Mus musculus: one gene and its partners. The protein of the gene in region 1 purifies or fractionates together with the protein of each later gene. This does not show direct contact. Links are inferred from orthologs where the notes say so. Each region holds a gene or a part of one and is shown in the gene's direction. Other genes may lie near its edges. The genes, in order: Gna13, Arhgef12, Arhgef11 and Arhgef1.

Evidence for each region.
Region 2: the proteins of Gna13 (region 1) and Arhgef12 purify together in Homo sapiens (affinity purification with western blotting; 3 studies listed by BioGRID). This does not show direct contact. The link is inferred for Mus musculus from reciprocal best matches to the Homo sapiens genes GNA13 and ARHGEF12.
Region 3: the proteins of Gna13 (region 1) and Arhgef11 purify together in Homo sapiens (affinity purification with western blotting; 3 studies listed by BioGRID). This does not show direct contact. The link is inferred for Mus musculus from reciprocal best matches to the Homo sapiens genes GNA13 and ARHGEF11.
Region 4: the proteins of Gna13 (region 1) and Arhgef1 purify together in Homo sapiens (affinity purification with western blotting; 5 studies listed by BioGRID and IntAct, with this or other methods). This does not show direct contact. The link is inferred for Mus musculus from reciprocal best matches to the Homo sapiens genes GNA13 and ARHGEF1.

What each region holds. Positions count from the first base shown.
Region 1 is NC_000077.6:109,361,467-109,365,618, forward strand, and holds the start of Gna13 (guanine nucleotide-binding protein subunit alpha-13), read left to right. Parts: upstream 1-1,327; 5' UTR 1,328-1,507; coding exon 1,508-1,790; exon of another isoform or gene 1,791-2,188; intron 2,189-4,069; coding exon 4,070-4,152. UniProt on the Homo sapiens protein: Guanine nucleotide-binding proteins (G proteins) are involved as modulators or transducers in various transmembrane signaling systems.
Region 2 is NC_000075.6:42,969,669-42,973,231, reverse strand, and holds part of Arhgef12 (rho guanine nucleotide exchange factor 12), read left to right. Parts: intron 1-766; coding exon 767-1,237; intron 1,238-1,925; coding exon 1,926-2,239; intron 2,240-3,449; coding exon 3,450-3,519; intron 3,520-3,563. UniProt on the Homo sapiens protein: May play a role in the regulation of RhoA GTPase by guanine nucleotide-binding alpha-12 (GNA12) and alpha-13 (GNA13). Acts as guanine nucleotide exchange factor (GEF) for RhoA GTPase and may act as GTPase-activating protein (GAP) for GNA12 and GNA13.
Region 3 is NC_000069.6:87,735,495-87,738,548, forward strand, and holds the end of Arhgef11 (rho guanine nucleotide exchange factor 11), read left to right. Parts: coding exon 1-77; intron 78-311; coding exon 312-501; intron 502-1,428; exon of another isoform or gene 1,429-1,549; coding exon 1,550-1,608; 3' UTR 1,609-2,545; downstream 2,546-3,054. UniProt on the Homo sapiens protein: May play a role in the regulation of RhoA GTPase by guanine nucleotide-binding alpha-12 (GNA12) and alpha-13 (GNA13). Acts as guanine nucleotide exchange factor (GEF) for RhoA GTPase and may act as GTPase-activating protein (GAP) for GNA12 and GNA13.
Region 4 is NC_000073.6:24,901,712-24,905,831, forward strand, and holds the start of Arhgef1 (rho guanine nucleotide exchange factor 1), read left to right. Parts: upstream 1-1,274; 5' UTR 1,275-1,417; intron 1,418-1,722; exon of another isoform or gene 1,723-2,144; intron 2,145-2,256; exon of another isoform or gene 2,257-2,786; intron 2,787-4,120. UniProt on the Homo sapiens protein: Seems to play a role in the regulation of RhoA GTPase by guanine nucleotide-binding alpha-12 (GNA12) and alpha-13 (GNA13) subunits. Acts as a GTPase-activating protein (GAP) for GNA12 and GNA13, and as guanine nucleotide exchange factor (GEF) for RhoA GTPase.

The sequences.
Region 1 (4,152 bases):
GCCCAAATGGACAGTAACTGATGGACTGACTTATAGTGCTGGTTTTTAAAATTTTAAACTTGTGCATGTCACGGTGTTGACCTCTTTACCCCAACTCCCTAACACACAGGAAGTTCCCAAGTTGCACACGAGTCAGGTCCCAGGAGCAAAACCAGACAGGCATCAACTTTGAAACTGACAAGAATGAAGAAGTTGGCTTCTGAGGTCCTTGCTACAGTCATTCAGCTGTCACTAGTCACGTGTTCCCCAGGAGTCTCTTTTTCAGGTGTTCTGGCCTGATCTGCTGGTATGACAGAAAAAAAAAAGTTTCTTGTCTGTCATATCCTCTGTAATCCGGCAGGAAACCCAAAATGTGCCTGCTGCAGTCCTAGGCTGAGCGCTTATCTGCTTCCTTGGGAAGAACGTGCATCAGAGTGTCCGGTTTAGGGGGATTTTCAACATGACCTCACCCTCTCCACCATTCACTGACCTCAGAAGGCATTACCCAAGTCACAAGTGCAGCTCGGATGGGAATCTAATGAGTGAGCCAGCCGCCAGCGACCTTCCTGGCACATCTCACGAGAACATCAACTCCAACTTCCCCTCAAACCAGGGCAGGTTATCAATAGTGCCCTGAGCTGCTAGGGTGAGGTGTTGATCAATAACGACATCTGACATCTACTTATCCTTCCAGATTCGGGATGGTTAGGATGACAAGGGGGCGGGGAAGGGTCGCTGCTAATTAAACGCACGATCTTGAAGGAAAGCTCTTGCCTGCCGGTAATACCAGAAACGGACAGGGAGGCTGAAGCAAGACGATTGTCACAAATTTAAGCCAACTTGGGCCGCAGGGATCTTGTCTCAAGAGTTAAAACAAAACAAAACAAAACAAGGCAAACTGTAACGAAGGAAGGCTTGCACTGGTCGGGTGCGGGGATGTCCCAGCCAATGGTCTCAAAATAGGTCGCGTGAAGGTGACAGCAAGCGGCGGGCGAGTAACTATGGGAAAGGGCAGTGGGATCTGTAGTGAGAAAGATGCCCCAGCGGAAAGGGGTCAGGATGGGCTTTGCTTACTCGCCTCGGGGCTCCGGGAAGCGGTGGCACTAAAGGGAAACAGAAACTCTGGATCCGCAGGCGCGCGCGCCCAGCCTGGCCCACGTGACCCGGGCTCCGCCGCTCTCCGAGCGCGCTCCCGGCTGCACAGGAGCGCGTGACTCCCGCCGCTGCCGCTCCCTCCTCCGCTCGGCGTGCCTGCGTGCGCGTACCCGAAAGGCAGCGGGCACGCGCACGCCCAGAGGGCCGCCGCCCCTCCCCGGGCCCGCCCTCCCTCCCTCCCTCCCTCCCTCCCACCCTCCCCCGGCCGGCGCGGCCCGCCCTGGCGAGTCAGTCCTCGGGTTCCCTCCCTCCCCGGGCGCGCTCGGGCCGCCGCTGCGCTCCCCGCCCTCCAGCCGCCTTGCCGGAGCCGCCCGCTGCCGGAGGAGGAGGTGGAGGAGCCGCAGGGGCCCGCCGAGGCGGCGGCGGCGGCAAGATGGCGGACTTCCTGCCGTCGCGCTCCGTGCTGTCCGTGTGCTTCCCGGGCTGCGTGCTGACGAACGGCGAGGCCGAGCAGCAGCGCAAGTCCAAGGAGATCGACAAATGCCTGTCGCGGGAGAAGACCTACGTGAAGCGGCTGGTGAAGATCCTGCTGCTGGGCGCGGGCGAGAGCGGCAAGTCCACCTTCCTGAAGCAGATGCGGATCATCCACGGCCAGGACTTCGACCAGCGCGCGCGCGAGGAGTTCCGCCCCACCATCTACAGCAACGTGATCAAAGGTGCGGGGCGCGGCGGGGCTCGGGGACCCCTGGGGAGCCGGGCCGGGCACCGCCCTCATCCGCCGGGTCCCCAGTCGGAGGAGACCGAACGGGATCAGATCGGACGGGCGAGCGGGTGGGCGCGCCTTGGGCACCGTTCTGTGCGCCCTGTTGCCCTGGTCCCTTCGATCCGGGACGCCCCGCTGTCCCCCCCGTGCTACCCCGGTGAGGGTCACGGTCGGCCCAGCACTCCGCGGCTGGCCTCGCCCCCTCCAAGAGGGAAGTGCGGCGAGTAGGGTGACTCGGGGCAGCGGGGCAACTTGTGTCCTCCCTGCACTCCGGGCAAGACCACCCATCAGTAGCCCCAGGTCCTACACTCCCTATCCCTTCCTATCCTTCTTTCCTTTCTGCCCGTCCCTGGTGGGTGACCCTAGTAACCGGGTATGTTACCCTTCCAGCTTTGGGCTTCCTAGGCCACCTCTTGACTTAAGCAAGTTCTGGAACGGTTGTAATGAGGAAACTTTTTTTTTTTTTTTTTTTTTTTTTTTACCCTGAGACTCTTGTCAAGGGCATAGAGTGACAGCCTCTAGAGCCTTTTGGGGCAAGAGTATGAAACTCACGTTTACTGAACTGGCATCAGGAAAGTCTATTAAAAAAAATTAGCGCGAGTGGTTTTATCGGCTCATTGCTACAGGATGTTTGTAATCACAGTTCAACATGTTGCACACTTTTTTTTTTCTTAATAACTCGAGACAGGAGAAAAAAACAGTATCATTTCATATCATTTCTAATGCTTTCATGAATTTATGTTTAAATACATGTGCTGGACTGCATGGTGGGCTTCACAAATCCTGTTGAACAGTATTTTAAATACTGTTCCTTAAGTGAAAACCACCCAATATTTTTATTCCTTAGTGTTCAAATAAGTTGCAGAGGTGGCTTTTATTTTTATCATTTAAAAGAATCATCTTGTTTTTTTTAATTTTTTTTTCTTTAGTGTCAGGTATTTTCTACCTAAGAGAAGTTGGCAGAGTTGAGGCACAGCAGCACATCAGAAAACAGATTTCTGAGTGGTTAAGGAGTCACCCTATTAAATCTAGGGCTTGGAAGCAAACTTTAATTTTGTAGGTCTTTTCAAGGAGTTGTGTGACTTTTTTTTAAGCATATTTTTTGTTGTTCAAGAAGAACATAAGCAAACTCCCTCATGGGTCCGTTCCCCCCACCCCCTTCAGTGTTTCAAGTAGGGAAAGACTAGAGAAGATGCTTTGCCAGGCAGAGAGGGGAGAGGGCGAGGCCAGGAGCTCACAGTCCATGTCTTGCCCTTACCCTTGTACCTTTGCAGTAAAGCTGAAAAGGATGGCTGTGTTCAGTCTGCCTTAATGCTCAGCACAGAACTAATTAAAGTCTCCTGGAAGACTGTAAACTGTACCTTGCCAGCCCTTAATTGAAGGTACCTTTGTATCCTGATACAGATGAACTTAAAGAATGAACAGACTCAAGTAGTCACTTGTGAGCGAGGCAAATCACCTGCTTTTCTACACACACTGGGCCTAAGAGTCCCTTTGAACATGATTGTGTGATCAGGTTGAAGTCTAGGGAGGCATCTTATTTTCTTTTGTTGGCATGGTCAGAAAAGTGAAAGCATAACAATTTTTTCTTGTATCCAAAGAAATGACTTCCCGATGATGACAGAAGTAACAGTTTTAGAGACAGGAGTTTGAGCTGACCTGTGTAAGTGGAAGCCTCATGGGCGGTCTTGGGTCTTTGTGCAGTTGGTTTTCCTTTTAGGTGACTAAAGCCAGTGTGTGACTGCACTGATTAAAAGAGAAACTTGGTCTGAGGAAGCCTTGAGGTTAAGTGCGTCCTAGAAGACAGTGTTGGTAGGAACCTGGAGGACCCGGACTGCACACAGCACAGTCAGCTGTCCTTAGCTCGGGCCGGGCCGTCTTTAGCCTGGCACCAGCCTAGGCAGCACTATTTATTTTTTCTGTCTCCGGTTTTGACTGCCGTCTACACCAGAAAGGATTTTTATGAATCGTAGCATATTAGAATCCTCCCCAAAGTGGTTTTTGTTATTAATATTAACTTTTCAAGGCTTCTGGTTTTGAGACAGTGAACACTTGTTTCTCAAACCTCTGAGAAGATAAAGGTTTTGTTTTGATTCTGGTCTCCCATTTTGGAAGTGGGGCTTCTGTAATAGCTAAAAATTAAGGAACCAATACTGAGTAACCCTGGGGCCAAAGCCTCTGATGGTATCTTCATGACTCTTCCTCACACGGTTTTTCTCTTTTTAAACAAAGGTATGAGGGTGCTGGTAGATGCCCGAGAGAAGCTTCATATTCCCTGGGGAGATAACAAAAACCAGCTCCATGGAGACAAGTTG
Region 2 (3,563 bases), on another chromosome or scaffold:
ACAGGGAGTGGCAAGCCATCCCAGGGGAGTGGTAGTGGGACATGGAGTTTTAGGGCTGGAATTAAGGTGCTTGAGAAAGGGGGAGGGGTTTTAGACCTGAGCTCTTTATTGGAAAAGCAGAGGGTCAGCCTGTGGTGGAATCAGGAAGTTGCAGTTATTTAAAATCTTCTTTATTGTGCATTCTCCTGAGGTGACAGACTTAGTGATGTCTGATAGCTTGATGGCTTGGTCCTAGAGCTGACATCACCTGCAGAAGTTTGTCATAAGACTAGCCCCAGGGTTAGTTTTAACATCCTAAAGGAGCAATGCTGCTAGTAAGGTAATCTAAACAAACAAATCTAATGAATACTTACTTTGGAACTTCCATATACTACTCCCAAATCATTGCCTTCACCATTTAGGACAATTGTTAGGAAAAATGCCTATAAATATAGAGTCTGCTCTTGAGAAGAAGAGCATTTGCTGGCCTAGCTGAAACAGATGAGATGCTTGCTGTCAAGTGTATTTAGGACTTCTAATTCAAAGTGCCTCCCTATTCAAAGTGCATAACTCTTGTCAGTGTATTTTAATGTTTAGTGTAGAAGACATATTTTTATTGCATGCTTCAAGACAGAAATGATTGTGTAGGATTAATATTTTGGTTATATATTATTATGTCCTTAGTTTTAGAGGGGATTGAAAACTCAGCTGTCAGATTTTGCCTGGCAGTGAGACTGTGGTAATCAGTTTAACCCTCTGTTCTCTTCTTCTTGCCCTAAATCTCCAGTGGGCTTGTTGAAGCAGTTGCTGGTACAGCAGTTAGGTCTCACCGAGAAGAGTACTCAGGAAGACTGGCAGTCCTTCTCACGATACGGGCCAGCTTCTGAAGAGGTACAGGCAGACAGTGGCATCCGGGACTTGGAAAATGTTAAGGCTTGTCATGCCAGGGAAGGACAGATGTCTTTTAAAACTGGAACTGGTGATATTGCAACTTGTGACAGTCCACGGACTTCAACTGAGTCTTGTGCTGCACAGGATTCAGTGATACTGGCATCCCAAGACAGCCAGGCAAGTAACGTTTTAGTAATGGACCACATGATCCTGACCCCAGAGATGCCTCCTGCAGAGCCAGAAGGGGGTCTGGATGAGAGTGGAGAGCACTTTTTTGATGCCCGTGAAGCACATAGTGATGATAATCCATCAGAAGGTGATGGAGCAGTTAAAAAGGAAGAGAAGGATGTTAATTTACGCATCTCAGGCAAGTGGCTTTCACATTTCAACTTTGATTGTGATTATTATAAACTGTCTTATATGCTGGAATGGATGTTGTTTCAGTATCTAAGGTGTGTGTGTGTGTGCGCGCACGCTTATTTCTTTATACAACAAATAGTCTGTTCTTTGCCATCTTTGCCAGAAATTGGCAAAGGGGCTGGGAGATTGGACAGTGAAAAATGACAGAAACTTCATTGTTCCTAAGAAGCTTAAGTGCCCAAAGGGAGAGAGTAAAGGTAAATCCAAAGCAAGTGATAAACATCAGGTGGTCAGAAGCATTAGAAACAAACAAGGCCAGCTACAGCCCGGGCAGAGAGTACTGAGAGCAGACGTGGTGATGGGAAAGGCCACGTGGATACAGTGTTCAGCAGCAAGCACTGGCAGAGTCTGCTTCTGTAGTCAGGGGGAGTGCGGGGTGGGAGAAAGCAGCAGGAGCCCAGGAAAGGGTGTGTGGAGGTGAGTGATACTCCGCTTGTCATGTAAGGACTTTGTAGCTAAGGTGTTAAACTCATGAAAGTTTGCTAAGGTTGACTTTAATCCAAAGTAAATTCTGGTAGAGTTAAAACTGAACTTGGGAGTTGGGGGTTCCTCCACCAGGGTAGGTTTTCAAGTTGTCCTTATGACCTCATTCTGGTGGCAGTGCTAATCTCATCACACTGTCCTGTTACCAATAGGAAACTGTTTGATCCTTGATGGCTATGATGCAGTTCAGGAGAGCTCCACAGATGAGGAGGTTGCCTCCTCGTTCCCCCTGCAGCCTGTGACGGGCATCCCCGCTGTGGACTCCAGCCACCAGCAGCAACATTCCCCTCAGAATGTGCATCCCGAGGGGCCGGTTTCACCATTCACCCCAGAATTCCTGGTCCAGCGGCACTGGCGAGCTATGGAGGATACCTGTTTTGAGATCCAGAGTCCCTCATGTACAGATTCACAAAGCCAAATCCTGGAGTACATTCATAAAATAGAGGCTGACCTGGAACACTTAAAGGTATGTCCCATTTCAGCCTCCGTAGCACTTGGTCCTAAGAACACAGCTGGCAGAGTGCAAGTTTGGAATGATGGAATCCTGATGTCCAAAGATGGTCCAGGTTCTGTGTCTGCCATTTTTATTGTCTTTAACCATTAATCATGAGTAGGCCTGGATCAGAGCTGGTGTTGACATGGTTTGTCTTTTGACACATTATAAGAACAAGAAAACTGTAGGTCTGTAGCTAATTACCTGTTTTTTGGGCTTCTAAGTTTTAAGACCCTAAATACTGGGTCAGTTGGTTTCCATCATGCTGGATGATGCGGGCGGTAGGTGGGCTTTCGTGGCTGTCAATCACAGCCAGGAATAGCTGTGAGCTGCTGTATCCTGGCAGTTACATGTGCCTCATAAATAGTGTTGGTAGTTTCTCGGAGGCCATGTCAGTTACAAATTGACTCCAGTGGCTTCTGTTACAAAAACCCATGAGCCCAAATGGAGGTAGTGAAAGACGTTACTGTGCTGGTTTTTTATGAAAGAGACTCTATTTTATTTTAAAATTGAGAATAAATTATTTCATACAATATCTTCTGATCATGGTTCCCCTTCTCCCAATTTCTCCCAGATCCTTCTCACCTTGCCACCTAGTCAGCTCCGTGGCCTTTCTCTCTTTACTAACGTGCAGGCAAATTAAAAAAGACAAACCAACCAGAGTGAAATCAAACAATAACAACAAAAAAGAAAAAGCATGAGAAACACACGCGCACACACACACACACACACAAGGGACAGTAAGGTAAGAGCATCGGCCCTGGTGACACAGCTGCTGGAGCTCACACTTGCCCATGACATCATTTAGGTGGGACACGTAGTGTCGACGGAAGTCCATTAGCTCAGGGCTCATCTCCCTTAACTTTTTTTTCTGCTCCATGTAATAGGTTTTCTTCTTTAATCTCATGTATGTCACTATGTGGCCAGCAAGGCAGGCTATCTAGGAGGCCTCTGTGTTCATGTGTCATGTGACCTTCCCTGGGTGACATCTGCCATGGGCAGGTTACCTTTACTTCCTTCCCCTTGCATAGAGAGGTAGGTTACTCATTCAGAAGAAATTGGCGTCCTCCTAGCTAACAGCATCTTTAGTGGTCACTGTTAATGTTAAAATTGGGGGCCATGTGCTTTCACCCCTATTGTCAACTAAATGTTATTTTTTTTGTGTGTGTGCCATCCCATGAAGAAGGTGGAGGAAAGTTACGCTCTTCTTTGCCAAAGGCTGGCTGGCTCAGCCCTCCCCGACAAGCTCTCAGGTATGTGAAGTGGTGGGCTTATTCTGACTAGCAGTACACTGGAT
Region 3 (3,054 bases), on another chromosome or scaffold:
CCAGCCTGGTCCTCAGGGATATGGGTGTGATCTTCCACACCATCGAGCAACTGACCGTCAAGCTTCACAGACTCAAGGTGAGGGGTGCAGCCTTGGGGCAGGAAGCCGTCCATCCAGTACCCGGGACAGTTCCCCGAGAGGGAAACTGATAGAAATTTGAGACGAGGGCCTCACACAAGCTAGACAAACATTAAGCTCCATCCCCAACTCAGGAAGTATATCTCTTCAACTGGAGTCCTATGCTACCCTGCGTACCCTCCCGCACCCTCTGAGCCTTAGCACAGGGAAGACACCTCCTTCAACTCTTGTAGGACATGGAGCTGGCCCACAGAGAGCTGCTCAACTCCCTTGGAGGAGAGTCGTCTGGTGGAACCACTCCTGTGGGAAGTTTTCACACAGAGGCAGCCAGATGGACAGACTACTCCCTCTCTCCTCCAGCCAAGGAAGCCCTGACCTCTGACCCCCAAAACAATCAGGAGCAGGGGTCCTACCCTGAAGAAGGTGAGTGAAGCCAACCCCTGCATGTGCTGCCTGAGGGAATGCTGTGAACCAGGAGTAAGTGTGAGCAGGTAGTGGGCCGTGCTCCCATGACTCTTCCCTAAGAAAGAGCAAGCACATTCCCTCAGCTTCACAGAGAAAGTTTGCCAGGCACAGTGCTGTGCCTTTAATCCCAACACCCAGGAAACAGATGCAGCTGAATTTCTGTGAGTTGGAGGTATATAGTTCCAGGCCGGGAGGGGGGAGTCTGTCAGAGAACAACTTCAGTTGTCCGTTCTTGCCTTCCACCCTGAGGCAGCATCTATGTTCACCGCTAGATGAGCCAGGCTGGCCGGCCCACCCACCAGTTTGTTCTCCTGTGTCCTGTTTCTAGGTGTTCTGATTATCCATTGAACTCTCTCCAGCCCCAGAAAGTGATCTTTATAGGCAAGCTACACAGAGACTCCCCCCCAAATAGGGACTAGTAGTACAGAACCTCTTGCCTGCATGTAAGTCTGTATATCACATACATGCAGTACCAAAGGATGCCAGAAGAGGACTGAAACTGGAGTTATAGGTGGTTGTGAGCTGCCATGTGGGTGATGGGAATTGAACCTGGGCGCTCTGGGAGAGTAGAAAGTATTCTTAACCACTGAGCCATCTCTCAGCCCCCAGAACCTTCTATTTATGTTGGTTTGAGGAAGTAATGTACCAGGAAAGCCGCCTTACCTCTGCAGCAGGTTCTTAGTGGCTCAGACCTGGGTTATAAGGGCAAGGACCGAATTCAGAAAGCTAAAACGCCTAACCTGTCTTGGTTTTGGCGCCTGGAAAGAAATGCAGTCCCACAGGAAACAAGGCTTGGACTGACAAGATGGCTCACCAAGCCTGACCATCTGAGTTCGAGCCCCAGGATTCACATGGAAGGAGAGAACCGACTCCAACAAGTTGTCTAGCTTCCACACACTCTATTACATATAAGCTTTGTCACAGCTGGCACTCAAGAATCAGCCAGGGACATGAAAGAGAACCTCTCAAATGTAGCCAGCGTCTCACCCTCACCATCTTCCCACAGGCTCCGACACCCCCCTGGAAGACAGTGCCACAGACACAGCTTCGTCACCAGGACCATAGCCATCCAGACAACCAGAGTCTGGCCTGAGCCAGAGCGCCACATTAGGAGATCCGAGCCTCCCCGTGAAAGATACTGTGAGGCCTGGGAATCCCTCATGTTGCCTGGTCTGTTCCCACCAGACAGTCCAGTTTAGTGTCTCTTCCTCCTGTTAGCCCAAGTCTCCGTGGCTTTCGTCTCCTAAGCATGCTGACCACAATAGAAAGGCCTCCACCCCACATAGCCAGTGTGGGGTGTGCTATGTGCACAGTGCCCTTGAGGAGGCTTATGTATAAATGCACTTTCTTCCTCCTCTTCTTCCTAGGCCCCGAGACAGCTAGATGCCTGGCTCTCCTCTTTGCCCTTTAGTTTCCTATAAATATGTCTATTGTATGTGTATCTTTGCCATTGTAAATAACTTAGCCTTTTATTCTGTCCCTGGCATGTTCAACCAGTCACAGAGAGCCAGGCAGCAGCCCCGCACAGGGCCATGATTGTTTATGTCCCACTGGCAGGGAGGTCTCCCAGATTCCAGTGCTGTCAAGCTCCAGGGCCTGCCCACCTCTGAAGCCTAGGCCTTCTCAGTGTCAGGAAATGCTCCTGCAGGGAGTGTCTTACCCAGCCCTTCCCCACTTGCCCCATAGAAACAATACACCAGGTACGGATCTCAACACAGACTCTCAAGAGAGATGTGGAGTGGATTGCTGGAGTCCCTGAGTTAAGTCAGGGCCCTTCCTTCCCCAGGGGCCACAGCACCGTTGGCTCATCACCCTGTCCTCACGCCACTCCCTACAATGAACATACACACTGTGCTAGGTGTATATATACATATATATAAATATATATAATATATAAAATATAGATATGGAAATGACTGTTTTACTGTTAAAATAATGTATACTCTTATTTTCTTCCTTTCATGGTTAAGATTTTTTTAAAGAAAAGTTAAATATTCTTCCATTGTGGTTGTATGATTCTTAGCCTGATAGAGGGTGTGAGGCTGCCGGTGTGACCGGTCAAAAATGGGTAGAGGGAGACAAGAAAGCCCCTGCCACAGCCATCCTGCACCAGGTCTTTCCACCTGTCCCAAAGTGCCGGTGTGTAGACCTTCTCAGCAGAGGTTGGACAACTGGCTCTGGCCCAGAAAAGGACATTGTGGTTACGTCACACGAAGGAACAGGGCTGCTGTGACCTACTCTCAGATGCAAACCATGAAGAGGGTTACCACACTGCCCTCCTTCCCACAGACCAGGAAGAGCCATGGCAGCTGAGCCATGCCTTAGAGGACCTGGGACATAACTGGAAAAGCCATGGTGCACCTTAACACAGTGACTGAGACTCAGAGCAGCCGGAGAGATCCCCAGAGCCACTTGCCAGCCGGGGCTGGAGCTCTGGAAGGTAGAGGAGGGGCTAGAGATGAGGGAGAGTTACCTTGGTTGGAGATTCCCTGGAGGTTGGCATGGGCTCTC
Region 4 (4,120 bases), on another chromosome or scaffold:
CCCCAAGTCCAGCTCCCTCTCTAGTGGGTAATGAGCCCTTAATCGCTGCCTCTAGGGGAGCTGATTACAGCAGCCTCGTTAGTGTCACCCCCCCTCCTCCCAGATCTGTCATGGCCACTTAAGTGATAATAAATCCTTCCCAAAGCAGCCCTTGGCAGGAGTCATGGATCTCATGTAGACTGCTCCTCAACACTGCCAGGGAACCAGGAGCAGAAAACCCAAGTCCCCTCCCCCCTCAGACCCAGGATTCTAGGTTCAAGTTCTCACCTGACCACTTCTGAGATCTGGGACCAGACAGTTCTTGCTGTCTGTCTTCCCCAACCCCCTCCCCCCAAAATAACAGGAAGTCTCTTGGGGAAGTCCCCACCCCAATTGAAATGCTGGTTTATCTCCCTTATAGGGCCTCACCCTCCTCATGTCCCAAAGCAAGGGGGAACCAGCCCGGGTGTTACCAAATTTTTACCTATATTTAAACTCTGAGAACACAAGATATTATTTTCTGGAGTGGGGCCTAATTCCCTCATGGGTTCACTTGCATAAGGCAGATTTGGAGAGTTTCTGTCAAGAACCGGGGGGAGGGGGATGACAGAGAGAGCTAGAGTGGTGTGACAGTCATTGGGATGGGAAGAGCAGACTCAGGTTGTTAAAAGACAGGAGGCCAAGAGGAGACTCAGTGGGATCCCCAGAGACAAGGATGCAGAGATAAATAGCCAAAGGAAGAAGCAGACACAAACTGGCTGGCCTGATAATAACAGTTGAGGAAAGGACAAAGCCTGAAATCTCAGAGCATGAGAGAGACAGCCAACAGCAAGAAATGGGCCCAGCGTGATCAAGGCACAGAGGAGCTGCAGCAGGGAGAAGCAACAGAGGCCAGAAAGCAAGGAGTGCCTGGATGGGCCCCTGACCTTGTGGGCAGGAAGGCCTTCGAGCTTCGAAAAAGAGATCAGGGTGGTGGCGCGCACCTTTAGCTTTAATCTCTCTACTCCAGAAGCAGAGACACCTGAGTTCGAATCCAGCCCGCCTTACACAACAAGTTCGAGGCCAGCCAGGGCTACATAGGGAGCCCTTGTCGCAAACTAAGAGAAAGAGAGAGTAAGGGCCAGGGCAGGAGCTGGGCAACAGCAGGGAGGGCGGCGGAGGCGGACAAAGGCGAAGGGGAGCCGGGCGGGGCCGGGTGGGGACGCGCCCGCGGGGAAAGGAGGAGCCGCGCGGGCGGCGAGAAGGGGAAGGAAGCCGAGGTGCCGGGCGGGCACGGGGCGCGGGCAGGAAGCGGGGAGGGGCGGCGGGCGGGGGCTCCGGAAAAACGCCCCGACTTCCTGCCCGCCAGAGCCAGGAAGCCGGAGTCGGGACACCGGGCCCGGGATCCCCGAGCCCGACCTCGGGCGCCTCGCCGGTCACCTCCCCGCGCGGACACCAGGTACACTGTCCCTGGCCCCGCCCGGCCTCCTCCTCCAGCCGCCGCAGGGAGGAGCAGGGAGGGGACCGGGCGCGGAGGGCCTCCCAGGGTGCGCCCAGTGAACCTGCAGCCGCCTTTCTCTGGCCTCGGTTTTCTCATCTGTCAAAGAGAGCAAAGAGAAAACCCGGCGCGTTGGCGCCCGCCTGTCATCCCAGGAGTTGGGAAGCAGAGACAGGAGGATTGCCATGAGTTCGAGGTTAGCTTGGGCGACCTAGCATGAACCTGCCTCAAAAGAAAAAAAAAAAAAAAAACAAAACAAAACAGAGAGAGAGAGAGAGAGAGAGAGAGAGCACTTGTCGAGAGCACAAGTAGGTAGAGATCCAGGCTCCCAGCGAAGAACGATAACACTCATTTATCAGCAGGGAAACTGAGGCCCAGGGAGTCGGACTGCCTTGTCGTAGGGACAGAGCATCTGGGACTTGAACTCAAAGCTGTTTCCTGTAAAGAGCTGTCCCTGCGATCATGGATGCTTGATTAGAGCTCCCTAAAATAAACAAATATCTCTGCAGTACATTTTAAAGCCGAGACTTACAGAGCGTTAAACACGTCTCAGAAAGCTTTTTTCCTTACCCTCTCTGTGGTATTAATTATACTCTGGGAGATGGCTGTAGGGGAGAGAACCGGAAACATATCCTCATTGAACAGATGGGAAGACTGAGGCCTAAAGGGAAGTCATTGCATTTTGCAGGTTAGTCTATCAGAAGAAAATATATGCTCGAGCGCATGAGTGTTTTATGCTTTTGTTTGTGTGTGTGTGTGTGTGTGTGTGTGTGTGTGTGTGTCTATCTATGTGAGGGGGTTCTGTTTTTGTTTTGTTTTTTCTTTCCAATTACAGCGGGAGGAGTTGACAGTGGTGACAGAGGGTATACAAGCATTTGGAATTTAATAGGTCCGAGTTGGGGAGGTAGAGCTCATGTGAGGTCCCGATAGGTGCTTAGGACCTGAGCGACTTGAAGTTTCTCCGAGATTGAGCCCTAACCAGGCAATGGAACCATGCACCACTCCTGCTAAGGGGGCGGGGCCCAGGAGAGTGACAGGGGCAGTCGAAATACGGAAACAAGGGTCCTCCAAGGCAGACCAGAGCGGCCCTATCGGGCCAGCGTGGCGCCGTGTATTGCGATACCCGCCGGCAGGAGGAGTGGAGTTGCCGAGGCCGGAGAGCGGTAGGAGGCGGGCTAGAGCGGCCGGAGGGAGGAGTGGAGCTGGACGCAAAGGCGGCCTCTGGCTCGGCTAGAGCGACTCTGCGGCACGGGTGGGGGAACCTGGAGCTCGAGCGCGGAGGCTTCGGTTCCTGAGGCTGCAGTGGCTTGCTTCTCTTCCCATCCGACAGGTGAGATAGGCAGCCCTTGGTTGCCGTGAAACCTGACCCCACACGTCTTCCCTGCCACCCACACCACCACCGCTGCAGAATTAGTGAGCGCCTGTTGTAGATCAGCCACGTCCCACGTAAGATTTAGGGCTCGTGAAGACCCGCCACGTTACATAGGTCAATAAGAGCTCACATACCTTCCAGGTTTCAGGAAGCCTTTCACGGAGACCTGGCTTTTAACATAAGCATAGGCTTCTCATAGATCAAGGCAGGGCCCTACAGAACCCACCACACACCACTATCGAGGTCCCATAAACCATTAGTTTTCCCTTTAGAATCACCATCTCTCTGGATTCTTGAGGCCCACTATATGTCAAATAGAATGTGGGGTTGTATACATTCCAGGGCCCTCGTAGTTTTTTTCAAGGCTCCCAGAAGTTCTTGGAGACCTAAATAATCCAGTCCAAAGGCTTGTTGAATGTGAGCCCTTAGGACCCAGGCGCCTTTATGTGTTTACTTCTTCAGGACCCCCCCACACACACACACACACATACACACACACACACACACACACACACACACACACACACACTGCATAGACCTAAACCTGCCCTGACTTCCCCTGTCCACCCCACCTCCAGAGCCTCAAGTGCAAAATGCTCCCTCTGCCGGACAGTAGTGGACTTTGTCAGTTGCTTCATTTTGCCAGCTTTACCTATGTCTACTTTTCAAATCCTCTTTGAGCCCAGGTTTCTGGAGCTGCTGGGTCCATCCTGGGTGTCTGCAGAAGTCACGGCAGCCACATGACCTTTCCAGGCACCATCAGACCTGATGTATCTCAGAATAGATGCACATTTTAGTATTCCAAGGTCAAAGTGTGTGTGTGTGTGTGTGTGTGTGTGTGTGTGTAGCAGTGTTGTGTGCTGAATGTTTAAACTGTGGAACCAGACTGCCTGAACCTGAATCCTGGCTCTGACTCTCATAAGCCATGCCTCAATTTCCCCCTCCTGTAAATCAGCAATAAGAATAATAGTGACACCCTCCTCTCCTAAAACAAACCAAAATAATGCTGGCCTCATTGGGTCAGTAAGAGGATTAAATTCATTAACATCTGTAGACAGACCCTGAACCCTGCATAGAAACTAAGCCTGTGTGTGCTGTCTTTGCTGTGTCTGACACATACTGAGAACACGTGAGTGTCAGCCATTGTTCCTTATTACTGTGATGGGGAGTGTGGAGGCAATGCATGTGAACTGTGAACAAGAGAGTCAGGGTCTTCTGGTGACAATTTGTTAAAATTTCGTACCTCCCTTGGCTTCTCTTTTCTTGGGGGGGGGAGTTAATAAAGATTTAAG